Linked DNA regions of Nothobranchius furzeri. The protein of the gene in region 1 purifies or fractionates together with the protein of each later gene. This does not show direct contact. Links are inferred from orthologs where the notes say so. Each region holds a gene or a part of one and is shown in the gene's direction. Other genes may lie near its edges. The genes, in order: strip2, sike1 and serine/threonine-protein phosphatase 2A catalytic subunit beta isoform.

Region 1 (3,649 bases):
CGGCTTAAGCTGCATGCCTCCACGACCCAACTCCGCATAAGCGGCTGAAAATGGATGGATGGATTATTAAAAGATTAATATTCTTTTGTTTCATTTGCTTTTCTGTATTATGGATTAAGTGTCTGCTAATCAATACTCACACGCTGTTGAATCCTCTCCTAATGGCACCCCTCCATTATAAATCCATACCTCCCAGAGTGAGAAGTGTGCAAAGAAATGCCCCTCTGGGTGTCAGCGAGCTGCGGTAATTATCCATTGCTGTAAATCTCTTGTTTACGGCAACATTTCTATCATTTCCAGCACAAGTATGTGTCTATAGCTGAAGTCCAGATCAAGAAAGAAGAGGAGCTGCAGCAGTGTCCGCTGAGCCTGGTGAGCTCCCGCTTTTACTTTTTGGCTTTATTTAAATAAACTCCAGCGTTTCTCTAATTGAGGCTGCGGGTGCTAAATGGAGGTGCTGTGCTGACAGGGTGAGGAGGAGGTGGAGGAGACGCCTGCTGAGATCTTATACGTGGGAATGCTTCCAAACCTCTCACAGTATGTGGTGAGTGGATCTTTTTCTACTTCCTCATTAGCGAGAGGCTCTTCTGAAAAATCTGACCTTTGTCACACGAGGATACCTCAGACAAAACAAAATAATTAGCAACAAATGTCTCAAAGAGGCACCAGAAAACCCGACCTTGGAGTCGGCACGGTCCTGCGTGCTGCTCTGTCCAGTCATTATACAGATTTAGTTAGGGATGTAAGAAAATATTGCAATATTTTCTGTTACAATACTGGGTTAATATTTAAAAGCAGTGTATCAACATATGTATTGAGAATTTACAATCAAACATTTAGTGTATTTCTTTTGTCTGGTGCAATTCAAACCCTGACTGCTAGGGGGCAGCAGATTTTACCGTCTTCATTCTGATGATCTCTCAGTGAAACTGGACGTGTCTTACAGGCTTCTAGCCACAGTTTTCTGAATAAATTCAGTCTTAAAAACCGCTTTTATCATCTGGATTTTATTATCGCAAAGTATTGTATTATCTCCTCTGTACTGTGACGTTTATGGTAAAGCCGGATTCTTGTTAATGCAAACCCCTTTGAAAGTGCATTCCTCTGTGGATTATGAGAAATTTTTTAAATCATTATCTTTTCATTTTATGTACATCGTTGCATCATCAGCACCATGAAGCAGCCCTAGAATTTCATTGTGCTAATGAGGTGACATTGTGCAATGACAAAGAAAGCTTCCTATTATATTCCATTCTTTAAAAGGCCTTTTGATTCTTTGCTGCACCAGATTTGTTGTCTCCCCCTGAAATCATCTGTTGTTTATTTGCATTATTATTCTCCTCCACCGGTGAAACGTCCTTGAGCCACTGATTGCTACAGAAACACAAATCATGGTTTATTGAAAACCCATTTTATAAAGATTAATTCTAATTATTTTTCATGCAGGCTGAACATGAAAATAGTCTCCTACACCATTCTCCTGCATTCATCAGCTTCTGATAGAAAATGGTGAAAAGCCTGACAGATCTACGTCACAGTTACTTAACATTTATGGACGTTCCCATTTTGACTCGCGACAGGGAAGGCTGTTGCTGTTTTAGCATCCAAGAATCAACAGAGAATGCCTCAACTAGTAGAAGCTAACCGTTAGCATGATCAACTTCACCACACAGCAGAACTCCTCCCGGCTTGTGTTAATCGTGGAGATAAAACCAACGTTGCAAGTCGATGATGGTCGTGTTGCTTTTATTCAATCCTGAGCGAGATGTCCAAATATCAGGAAATAAGAGCTCAAAGCCTGCTGTCTGAAGCTCAGCTGTGATGTGAGTCACTTCTAGTGTCTGGAAAGGGTGCGCCGATTTGACCCCCCCCCCCCCCCCCCCCCCCCAGTACGGGTTACAAGGCATTCATTCCTACTAGAGACCACTGAAATGAATTTATTAAACGAGCGTCCCACACTTTTAAAGAAGTGAACTTTGGGGCATCTTTTTATTGCACGTACCTTGCAACATGGAATTAATTTAATGTCTGCTATAGCTCTTTCTAGTACTTTCTTCCTGTGCAGGTATTAGTTGTTAGTGCTAAGCTGTGAAGGCGCCTGTACAGGTGGACATCTGTATGTACTCATTTGTTTTTTTTTAACTAAGCTTCCCTTTCTTTCTTTTGCCAGATTGCTCTCCTGAAGCTCCTGCTAGCTGCAGCTCCAACCTCCAAAGCTAAAACCGACTCCATCAACATTCTGGCGGATGTGCTGCCTGAGGAGATGCCGTGAGTGATCAAGCCCTTCTCAGCTGTTTTTGTCTTTTGTCATTATTATGTCCTCCATGTCAACATAGAGCAGCTTTCCCCTTGTTGATCGACACTTGAGCTGGTGAGAAAGTGTAAAAACACAGATGAGAGAATCAGCTTGTTTTACAAGCAGGTTGTGGGTGTGTGTTGGTTGTTGAGTCTGTTCCTGACCAAACAGTTGCAGGATAACTGTTGGATGTGTGTGTCCTCCAGGATCACCGTTCTCCAGAGCATGAAGCTGGGGATCGACGTAAACCGTCACAAAGAAATCATCGTCAAGGCCATCTCTGCTCTGCTGTTGCTGCTCCTCAAGCATTTGAAACTCAGCCACATCTATCAGGTAACACCCAGCTCAGGGTATTATCATTGCCTTCACTTCTGAGTTATTGTGATTCCTCTGAGTTTTACCTTCCAGGTCCTTTCAAAGATTGTATGTCTTCTCCTGAATCACGGGAACAAGATTACATTTGGAATTCTTGGTGCTAAAATCAACGTTGGTCCCTTTGCTATTGGGAGGGGGACACCGATGCAGATATTTGCTGTTGCTATGGAAGAAACATGCTTCACACTCCTGCAGCTTTCTGTTGTGTAGAGCTGTGATAATGGCTCCACCTGCTGACCAAAACTGGAGTTGCACCCACAAACAACTGCTACTTTTTCACATTTTAAAGTTATTTTCTTGAGCCAGTGTGTGCTAAAATGGCCCTTTACAGAGGTAATGAAAGGACACCTAGACCCTATCCAGAATATTCCACTTGCCACTTCAGACTGGCGGGCCGCTTTGTTGGGGCTTGGAAAAAATAGAGCTTACCCCCAAATTCCACTACCTCCGCTCCGCTCCGACACGAACGCCGGAGCAAAATCGGTCCCGTTGTAGTCAATCAGAGCAATTCCACTACTGCGGCCGTGCTCCGGCAGTGCGGCGCCGTGCACCGCCCTCTGTTCCGGCGTCCGGCAAAAATAGAATCGATCCTATTTTTGCCGGACGCCGGAGCACCTCCGCAGTCAATGGACAGAAATCACCACCGCCCAACAGGAAAATGAGCAAGCAGAACTTCCGTTTTTCACAATAAATCGATAAACAAAAGGCGTTTTTTGTTTCATATGCACAGGTTTAACAACTTTTAACAACTATCAATGGCGGCTGAACTTTAAATGCACAAAAGTAAGCCATAAATACAGTTTCCACTATCAAAGTAGTCACACTTTGTTGATCCAAACACTGCTGATCTCTACACAAATGATGGGCAGATTAAACAGTTCATGTCATGCTTCTCCCACACAACGGGTGTTTGGATCTAACTTCCGCGTTTATTGCTCGGACTGTATCGCAAGATCTTGAAAATCCCGCGCATGCCTG
Region 2 (4,223 bases), on another chromosome or scaffold:
CCTCAGACTTCTAAAGAAACGTTGCTCAGGCTACAATGCCACGTATTCTTCATTTGATTTTAATAAATGGTATATTGATACTTTCGAAAAAATATAAACAAAGATGCTTTCTTTCAAGAGAAGTACGTCGTATAAATTGTTTTTTGTAATTATTTGGAAAACTTAAGAATAAACGTAAAGGTCCAGTTTAAGGTGTATCGTTAAGAAGTAGGTTGGCACATTTGCGACATCATCCAGCTGAAACAAATGCAAAAACCAAAATGGGAATTAGATCAAAACCAATTTTAAATCCGAAATTTGTCAGACGGCTAATCAAGTCCGATACAACACACATGCGCTAAAACGTGTTTGATTTCCTAACAGATCGAGGGTAAACGAAGAAAACACCGCGGCTAACGGCACGAGGATGATGGAAAACAAAGAAACTACCTACAAAGCTCGCGTCTACAAAAGTTGTGCACCAACTAGAAACGTCTTAAGTGTTAGAATGGCCAAAGTAGCATGTCTTCGGTACTTTAGACACGTCAAAGAAACGCCAGCTTGCTATTTAACCGTCGCTCGGTCGTTTGGAACGTTAGCTCGTTAGCCAGAGCACGCTGCTGTGGCCCGAGAAAAAACAAGGCATCCCCACCCAGGCCCGACTTCTGCTGTACACCGCCCGTTCGCTTTGGTGACCCCGCCTGAATTATAAAAAAATTAAATGCGAAATAAGACATTTAAATATATCTCAACGGTTTACCAAGCAGAGAAAAATAATATAAAACTCACCCCAACAGCTTTTAGCACTGTCACCAGCGCCGCTAGAAGCAGCACGGCACATTACGTAGTGATTAGGGAGACAGCTCCCGCGATATTTGACGAAGGCTAGGGAAGCCTCTGCAGCTGGCTCTGTTGTCACGCATGGGTTCATGGGAAATGATGTTCAGTTGTTTTGAAGTAAATAATCGGGCTCAACCTGGGCTCAACCGAGGTTTAAAAGGCATTAAATGCTTAATATGCAGTAAAGTATGCTATTAAATGTTAAAACGGCTTTTCCCACAGGTCTGCGCACCAGACACTCATGAAGATAGTTGGATAATGAAATTATTCAGAAAATGTCTATGCACACGGTTTCCTTGCCGAGAATGAGAAAACCAAAGGATTCGTAAACATTTTTACGTCTACGATGATACGTTTGACGGCAAGATACTTGTTTACGGTACAATCCCGGAAGTGACGCTATATTTTTTCCTCTCGAATACGAAGTTGCCAACAAAAAGAGGGATTTCTTTTGTTATACATTGTCCTGGTTTAATTAGTCATCTGTCTCTTGAGAAATGATCTAGGAGGGTCCGCTGAGATATGAATATTTGTTTGTAAAACATTTTTGTGCGTTTGAACAGCATAGCCAGCGTAAGCTACAGTACGGGCAAATTTTCGCCTGATCAAACTGGTATTTGGAAGCTTTAGTTTACAAATACGACTAGTCACTTAATAGCTAATGGCCTGTACTTTTGAAAAAGTGTTGGGGGATGCTAGGACCCTCCTGGAAAGGCTGAAAGAGCACGATACGGCTGCTGAGGGACTGATCGAGCAATCCGGGGCCCTCAGCCAGAGAGTGCAGGGCATGAGGGAGGTGGGCAATGCTCTTCCAGACAAGGTAAGATGGTCTCTCACACATAAACGTTGGGTGAAAGTATATTTATATTAGAAGGCTGACTTAAGCCATGCATTAAGGATTTGGGGTTGCAGGTAAGCTTAAAATGACACTCTTCTCTAACTCTACTCAAGTACTTAGACATTTTGAGATAGAAGGTCTGATCGTCCAAAAAAGTACACCAGCCTTTAAAAGCATATTTAAATAATGGGAATTATTTATCAAGAGGTGGAACAGTCATCCAACTAGTGCTTAAAATGTATTTTTTACTTATGACATTTTCCTTGTTGCTGCCTTTTAGCACACAGAAGACAGCTCAGAGATTCGGGAACTCACAAAATACAAGCCTCACATCCTTCTGACTCAAGAAAACACTCAAATCAAGGAATTGCAGCAAGAGAATAAAGGTAAAATCCTTACAATGTTTTTAGGTATTTTTAGAGTTCATGTGTTTGTCTGTAATTTTTGTCTTCGCCACTGTTTCCGCAGAACTATGGCTGTCCCTTGAAGAGCACCAGTACACACTAGAACTGATCATGGGTCGATATCGCAAGCAGATGCTCCAGCTGATGATGGCAAAAAAGGAGCTGGACACGAAACCAGTGCTCAGACTACACCAAGACTACGTCAAAGTACACCAACTTTCATTGTGCTGTGAACATTCCCAGTCATGTAATTTTCTGACAGAAAAAGGGGTTTGAAGTTATGCTTTCTGAATCTTATCCAGGAAGTGCAAAGCCAGGTGGAACGGATATGTGAGATGGGCCAAGTGATGAGGAGAGCCATGCAGGTGGACGATCAGCACTTCTGCTCTGTTCAAGAGAGGCTTGCTCAACTGGAGGTAAGGACTGGAATGGCAGTCGTGATGTCAGGAGTTATCATTAAGCTTTTAAAAGGCAAAATCAGTGACTCTAAGGCTTTGAAACAGCTCAGGAAATTAGCATGAGTCTACAAACACACACAAGGCTTAGTGCTGCTAGCATAAAAACTGTTGGAGTTTCTCAGGTTTTCTTGTTTGCTAGTTTCCTGGAGCGTATGGTGCAGCATTAGATTATGAATGAAAATATCTGGACACACCTGAGATCAACTTAGAAACTCTTTGAGATGACTTTCTTGACTCATTCTGGTTAAAATGTTGATTCAATAAACCAAACTCGCATAGATACAACCATCTTGCATGGACTGGTGATAACGAGTAATCTACACGAGGTTACGTTTGGTTATCCGGGCTCTTTCAGATTGAGAACAAGGAGCTTCGGGACCTTCTGGCCATCAGCCAGGCATCTGTGAAGATGGGAAATGAAGAGAGCCACCAGCCATCAACACCAGCAGCAGCAGTGCCCTCAGGCAGTGACCAATGAGTGACCCGAGCAGCTGCAGTCTGAACTGATCAGGTGGAACAACCAACCAAACAGGAAGAGCTTTTTCTTTTTTAAGCACAACCTAGATTGCAGAATAATGTTTGTAAAAGTAATTTAAATTCAACATTAAAGCCATCAGAAGCATTTAACTACCAGTGGGTATATCATTATGATAGATATCTTTATGTACAGTAGTTGTGTTTTCACTGCAGCAATGTTGGGAGTGAATTCCTCATAAACGAACGGAGTTTGACTGAGGTGCTTTGGGTATCACTGGTTTATTTTATATTTATCTAAATGCTGAAGTGAAGCTGAGGGAGATTTATTTTTGTTTAGAATGGAGAAAGGATGAGTTTAATCTTTTAAGAACATAAAAAAGTAAAATGCCCAAAAAGTAAAATGCCTCTGTTTTAAACGCTAACTTGTACACCACGTGTGATGTTGTGTTCATCGCCAAGAAAATGACTATTGGCTGTTTCACAAAACAAAATGCCTGCGCTGGAATGACAGTGGGCAGTTTTTTAAAGAGATTGTAAATTTATAAATGTACATTTTGTCTGCCATAGTTGATTGTTATGCTTACAACATGATAAATACCAGTTTTTACTCTGAATTTTTAGATTGGATTGCAGAGTAAATGTGTAATAGTTGACTGCACATCTTTCTCACGGTAACATTTTGTAAGCATTACTTTTTTGAGTGTTATGTACTTGTGCACTGTTATTTTGTCATGAACTGTAAATGTCATCTCAGGAAATTACTGTTGGTTAAGTGAACATGTTTATGGAAGTGTAATTATTTGTGTAAAATAAAACTCGTTCTGAAAACTAAGTCATATTACCTTATGGTGAAGTTTTTGTTGATAAAACACAAAAACCTTATTTTTTAATTCAGGGTTTCACCGCTAGGTGGTGATTTTAAGCTCTTCTGATTGTGACAATGAGACGTTTGGAAAAACATCGCTCCAATAACATTTAAGTGGGAAAAAGCACCAAAAAACGTTAATTTATTTCAAGGCTTCAAAGTATTTTTATCATTGTCGATTATTTGATAAGATTTCATAAATGACGTGGTGAAATAATGGGAACTGCACCGCAATTTTCTTGTTATTCTAAATTTGATTTTCACAACTTGAATATTTTCCGGGTGACCTAAACGCAGCACCAGAGTCACATACCTGGAGCGAAGCTAAGTCAGGATGTCTGAGAAGGAGCTCGGTAAAAAGT
Region 3 (4,394 bases), on another chromosome or scaffold:
TATAACTGCAACATTTCCTCTCACAGTCACCCTGTTTGCCGGGTATAGTTTGATTAATGAATTTCAGTCACAGACAGTGGACACAAAAACATGTTTTTATTGTGGTTTAAAATATATGGAATTATTTTATGTTATTTTGTGGCAAAAAAAAGTTGCAGTTTCTCATTCTGTCTGCAGCCTGTGTGTTCCCATAATGTGTTGCCCATGCATACATGGATTGCCTCCCACTGACCAAAAACTCAAGACTCAAGACAACTTTATTAGTCCCCGAGGGGCAATTTGAGACAATTCATGTAAACCTTTGGCTCACACACACACACACATACACACACACACATGCACACACAAATACACATGCATACATGTAACTATATGCACGCACACATACAAGTTATGCACACTCCTATCGGCACTAAGAATTAAGAAGAAGCACAGCTCTGGGAACAAAGGAACTCCTCCTCTGTGTTTTACAGCATGGACATCGAAGTTGGCGTTTGGAGGGCAGCCACTCGAAAACAGTATGAAGAGGGTGTAATGGGTCTTTAATTATTTTCTATGCTAACTTCCTGTATGCTGGTCACATTGAGAAGTTAAGTTTTGCAGTGGTAGTCCAATGATCTGAGAGCACACCTTGACGGTGCTTTGTAGACGGTTTCTATACTGCAGGCTGACAGAATAAAACCAACAGGGGATGGAAAATGTGATAACACTCTCTATAAAAGAATAATAGAAAGTCAGTAAAATGTCCTTCCTGTCTCCAAATGAATTCAACTTCCTCAGGAGGTAGAGTCGTTGCTGGCATTTTCTGAGGATGTCCTCAGTGTTGGAAGCGAATTTCAGGAGGTGATCAAAGGTGGTCCCTAGATATGTATACTCTTCAACCAGCTCCACTGGCTGTCCATGAATGATAGTGGAGGCAGCGGTAACCAGCGCTCTCTGTTTGTTTGAGAAGGACACCATCTCCTTAGTTTTGGTCACATTCAGCTCCAGGCCTGCTGTGTCACACCAATCCACAAACTCCTGCAGGACCTGCCCGTGCTAAACAGTAGGGCCTGACAGAAGCGACAGGAGCACAGTGTCATCAGCGTATTTTACCATATAACTGTCAGGCTGGATGGATCTACAGTCATCTGTATGGAGAATGAAGAGTAGAGGAGACAACACACAGCCTTGTGGGGTGCCAGTGGAGGTGTAAAGAAGGTCTGTTAACTGGAGACAATAAACTGTCCCTAGATGTAATTGAATGTGTGACTGGTTGTTTGCCTTTATGTGTCCCTGTGATGGACTGGAGGCATGTCCAGATGTCCTCTGTCTGTCCCCTGGTGACTGAAGTGGGTAAAGATGAGTGAGTGAGTGAGTGAGTGAGTGAGTGAGTGAGTGAGTTACAAATAAACCACATAATGTGTACCTAGAGCAGCAAGCCCTGGTCTAGGATCAGCATCCCGGAAAAGACGATGAACTTGTTGTAGTTCGTTACTTCCCCGCGTGGTGTCGCTGGTGTTCCGAGTCTGCGCGCTGCTGAAGTGCCCGGATGTTGTTGCAGCTAGCTCTTTTAGCCTCTGCGACGCCGCTTCGATCTGCCGCAGCGGAGACTTTCGAAGATTTCGACTCCACTGGCTCATTTAAACTGGTTTTAATGTCGGTAACTTAACATTGGTGGTTTATCATGAGAGAAGTTGTCTGAAAGGGTCGTTATTTTTAGGACTAATCGAATATTTTTCAACCGGACTGGATCGGGTTAACAATACGACAAGCTAAAGGCTGAATCAGTTCGCGTAGGGACCGGACGCCGTTTTTTATTACAGCTGAAATGGAAGATAAATCTTTTACTAAAGAATTAGACCAATGGATCGAACAGCTCAACGAGTGCAAGCAGCTAACGGAAAACCAAGTGAGGACCCTCTGTGAGAAGGTAAGCGCTCATTTGATTCCGCTGACCTCAATTTATAAGCGGCCTGGTTCTCAGCGGCCCCGACTAATTTCTGGAAAGGAAGTAACGTGTATTTTGGTTTTTATCTCCCTATTGACCCGTCAGCCGCAGGTCATCCCTGTTTATTAGTACTAGAAATGAGAAATTATTCGTATTGTTTTTGGTGTTTGAAGATCAGAGGCTAGTTTTATCAGTGATGACGGTTAACCAACAGTCGTAGTTTGAGCACCAACAGGCCGAAAATCGCACCTTAAATGTCTAGTAAATAGATGCAGCCCTCGTTACCATCCACCCGTTTTTTTATTTGACGTGGTTTCCCTCGGTTTGTTCCATGCGAAATATTATGTTAAAATCAGTATTAAGTCAGCGTCTTTAGAATTGGTTTGTTTGCGTACGTGCGGGGTTTCGCACCGCACCCTGTCTGTATTGATTTATCGTTTATTGCATAAACCCATCCTACCTCCCAGTTATTAGACGCGTCCGCATTTTTGCTGTCGCATAATAAATTAGTTCTTATGACTTTTTGCATCGTGTTATTTTTTTAAACATACATTATTATAATTGAGTGACTTTAGCGGTTTTTCAGCTGAAATCAGGAACCAGCTGAGGATTCAACAGGCCAGATAAACGTGGAAACTTATGGAGCTGCAAAAGATGATTTTTATTTATTACTAAAGTAAATAAACAGCTTTTGTGTATATTTATGTCGTTTTGCTGAGCAACACTTTGAACTAAAGAGTTAAACTATCAATCGATTTTGATGCCTTTAATTATGTTTCCTTTTCATAATTAAAGCTTTTTTTCCTGTATTATTTTGTTATTATTGTGAGCTTACCAAATATAAAGAATCAAAAACTGAACCACTGCAGAGAGGCTCTTTATTCTGATGTTTTTGCACATAAACAACAACAAAAAACCAGGTTTCACCATACATCCTGTTTGTTATTCTACAGGAACTGGGGTCTTGCCTGGCTTCCAGCATGTTTTCACCCATGATGCAATAATTCTGTCCTTTTTAAACTTTTGGTTATGTAAATAAAAACACACAAATGTGACCAGTTTAATAAATTTTTGTGTTCTTTTCAGGCAAAGGAGATTCTGACTAAGGAGTCCAACGTTCAAGAGGTGAGTTTGGCCCAAAAAAATCCTAATAAGTCGCCTTCTTCAATACTGCATACATCCGAGTTAATTTGCAGTTTTTGTTCCTGTTGGGGGGGGGTTATCTATGAGGAAATGGAAATCCATTTGAAGAGATTATTCCGTTTGTTTCTAAAACGGTCAGGGTCAGTTTGTGTTATTTTATCATCTTGTGTGTTCCAGTCACACCAGAGTCTCTGGGTTGTATGTTCAAACTTTTAGTAGAACAAACCAGAGGGGCTGGCTTCCCAAACTCAGTTCCTCTTTAGTACCGACCAAATATTTAGTAGGAACTGGTACGGAATAAATATGTATTTTTTGTTGTGAAACTTCAGTATTGTCTTGATAAATTGGCCCTAATAATGAGCCGAACAGCTCCGCACGCCGTGTGACTAAAGGAAGCTGCTCTCTCACACACCATTTATGGCAGGAGTTAATGTAACATTTCAGATAAGATTTGTGTTGCTAAATATGACAAAACAGCAATTTAATAAAGCGCAGCGTCGTTCCTGGTGTTGGTCTGTGAGCCGAAACATGAACCGATTTCATCTGCTGCTGCCAAAAAAAAACAACCAGACTCAAGTCCACAACCCTCCTGCGCTGCAACAGCAACACGGCGGCGTCACCAGGATTGTTTTTTGTTCTGCCTCTTTAAATTTGTATGTTCTAGGGCTGCACGATATTAGGAAAACCTGTGATATGCAATAACGGTGATTAATATTGCAATGACGGTATTACTTGCGATAAATATAAACTTAATTCAGGAACAAAAATAATCAAAAGCAAATAAATAAAAAAGTGACAAAAATATCATAGAAATGAAAAAAGCTAACTTAAAAAAGTTTACTTTTGATTTGGACTAAAAGGTAAAAACTAACTTTTTTTTATTCATTAACTGCCAACCATTTCCTGATCAGAAAAGCCCTTCACTTCCAGCATTTTTACTCCTTTTTTTTATAGAGTGACAGAATGTTGCACGCTAGGATGATGTCGACACCAAAACAACCAAAACAAAGCGGAGACTCACCTCTTACATCAGGAAGAATCCGCGTGTTTCGAGCGTTATCCGTTCTTTAATAATACGTTGTTGAATTGTGATCGTCAGAAGCTTTTCCGGTTCACGCCTCACTTTTTTTACAGCAGCGGCCCAAAACGATCTCCTAACACGTGGATGTTCTGCTTCCTGATCACGTGACGTATGCGGATGAAGATCGGCTTTAGAGCTGAGATGTTTGTTCTCACGGTGCGGGGGCTCGTCCGACGCCCACACAGTAAAAACATGCAAATGACGACTGGCAGTTAATGAGTTAATCTTATAGTTTACTGT

The links.
Region 2: the proteins of strip2 (region 1) and sike1 purify together in Homo sapiens (affinity purification with mass spectrometry; 3 studies listed by BioGRID and IntAct, with this or other methods). This does not show direct contact. The link is inferred for Nothobranchius furzeri from reciprocal best matches to the Homo sapiens genes STRIP2 and SIKE1.
Region 3: the proteins of strip2 (region 1) and serine/threonine-protein phosphatase 2A catalytic subunit beta isoform purify together in Homo sapiens (affinity purification with mass spectrometry; 3 studies listed by BioGRID and IntAct, counting the BioPlex papers as one, with this or other methods). This does not show direct contact. The link is inferred for Nothobranchius furzeri from reciprocal best matches to the Homo sapiens genes STRIP2 and PPP2CB.

The regions. Positions count from the first base shown.
Region 1 is NC_091741.1:53,343,889-53,347,537, reverse strand, and holds part of strip2 (striatin-interacting protein 1 homolog), read left to right. Parts: intron 1-300; coding exon 301-372; intron 373-469; coding exon 470-544; intron 545-2,170; coding exon 2,171-2,268; intron 2,269-2,502; coding exon 2,503-2,629; intron 2,630-3,649. UniProt on the Homo sapiens protein: Plays a role in the regulation of cell morphology and cytoskeletal organization. Required in the control of cell shape. Calmodulin-binding scaffolding protein which is the center of the striatin-interacting phosphatase and kinase (STRIPAK) complexes.
Region 2 is NC_091755.1:53,138,407-53,142,629, forward strand, and holds sike1 (suppressor of IKBKE 1), read left to right. Parts: upstream 1-1,335; 5' UTR 1,336-1,480; coding exon 1,481-1,639; intron 1,640-1,937; coding exon 1,938-2,043; intron 2,044-2,125; coding exon 2,126-2,268; intron 2,269-2,363; coding exon 2,364-2,477; intron 2,478-2,874; coding exon 2,875-2,997; 3' UTR 2,998-3,828; downstream 3,829-4,223. Other genes in the region: micos10 (MICOS complex subunit MIC10), read left to right, coding at 4,196-4,223.
Region 3 is NC_091750.1:36,847,521-36,851,914, forward strand, and holds the start of serine/threonine-protein phosphatase 2A catalytic subunit beta isoform, read left to right. Parts: upstream 1-1,520; 5' UTR 1,521-1,810; coding exon 1,811-1,912; intron 1,913-3,016; coding exon 3,017-3,055; intron 3,056-4,394.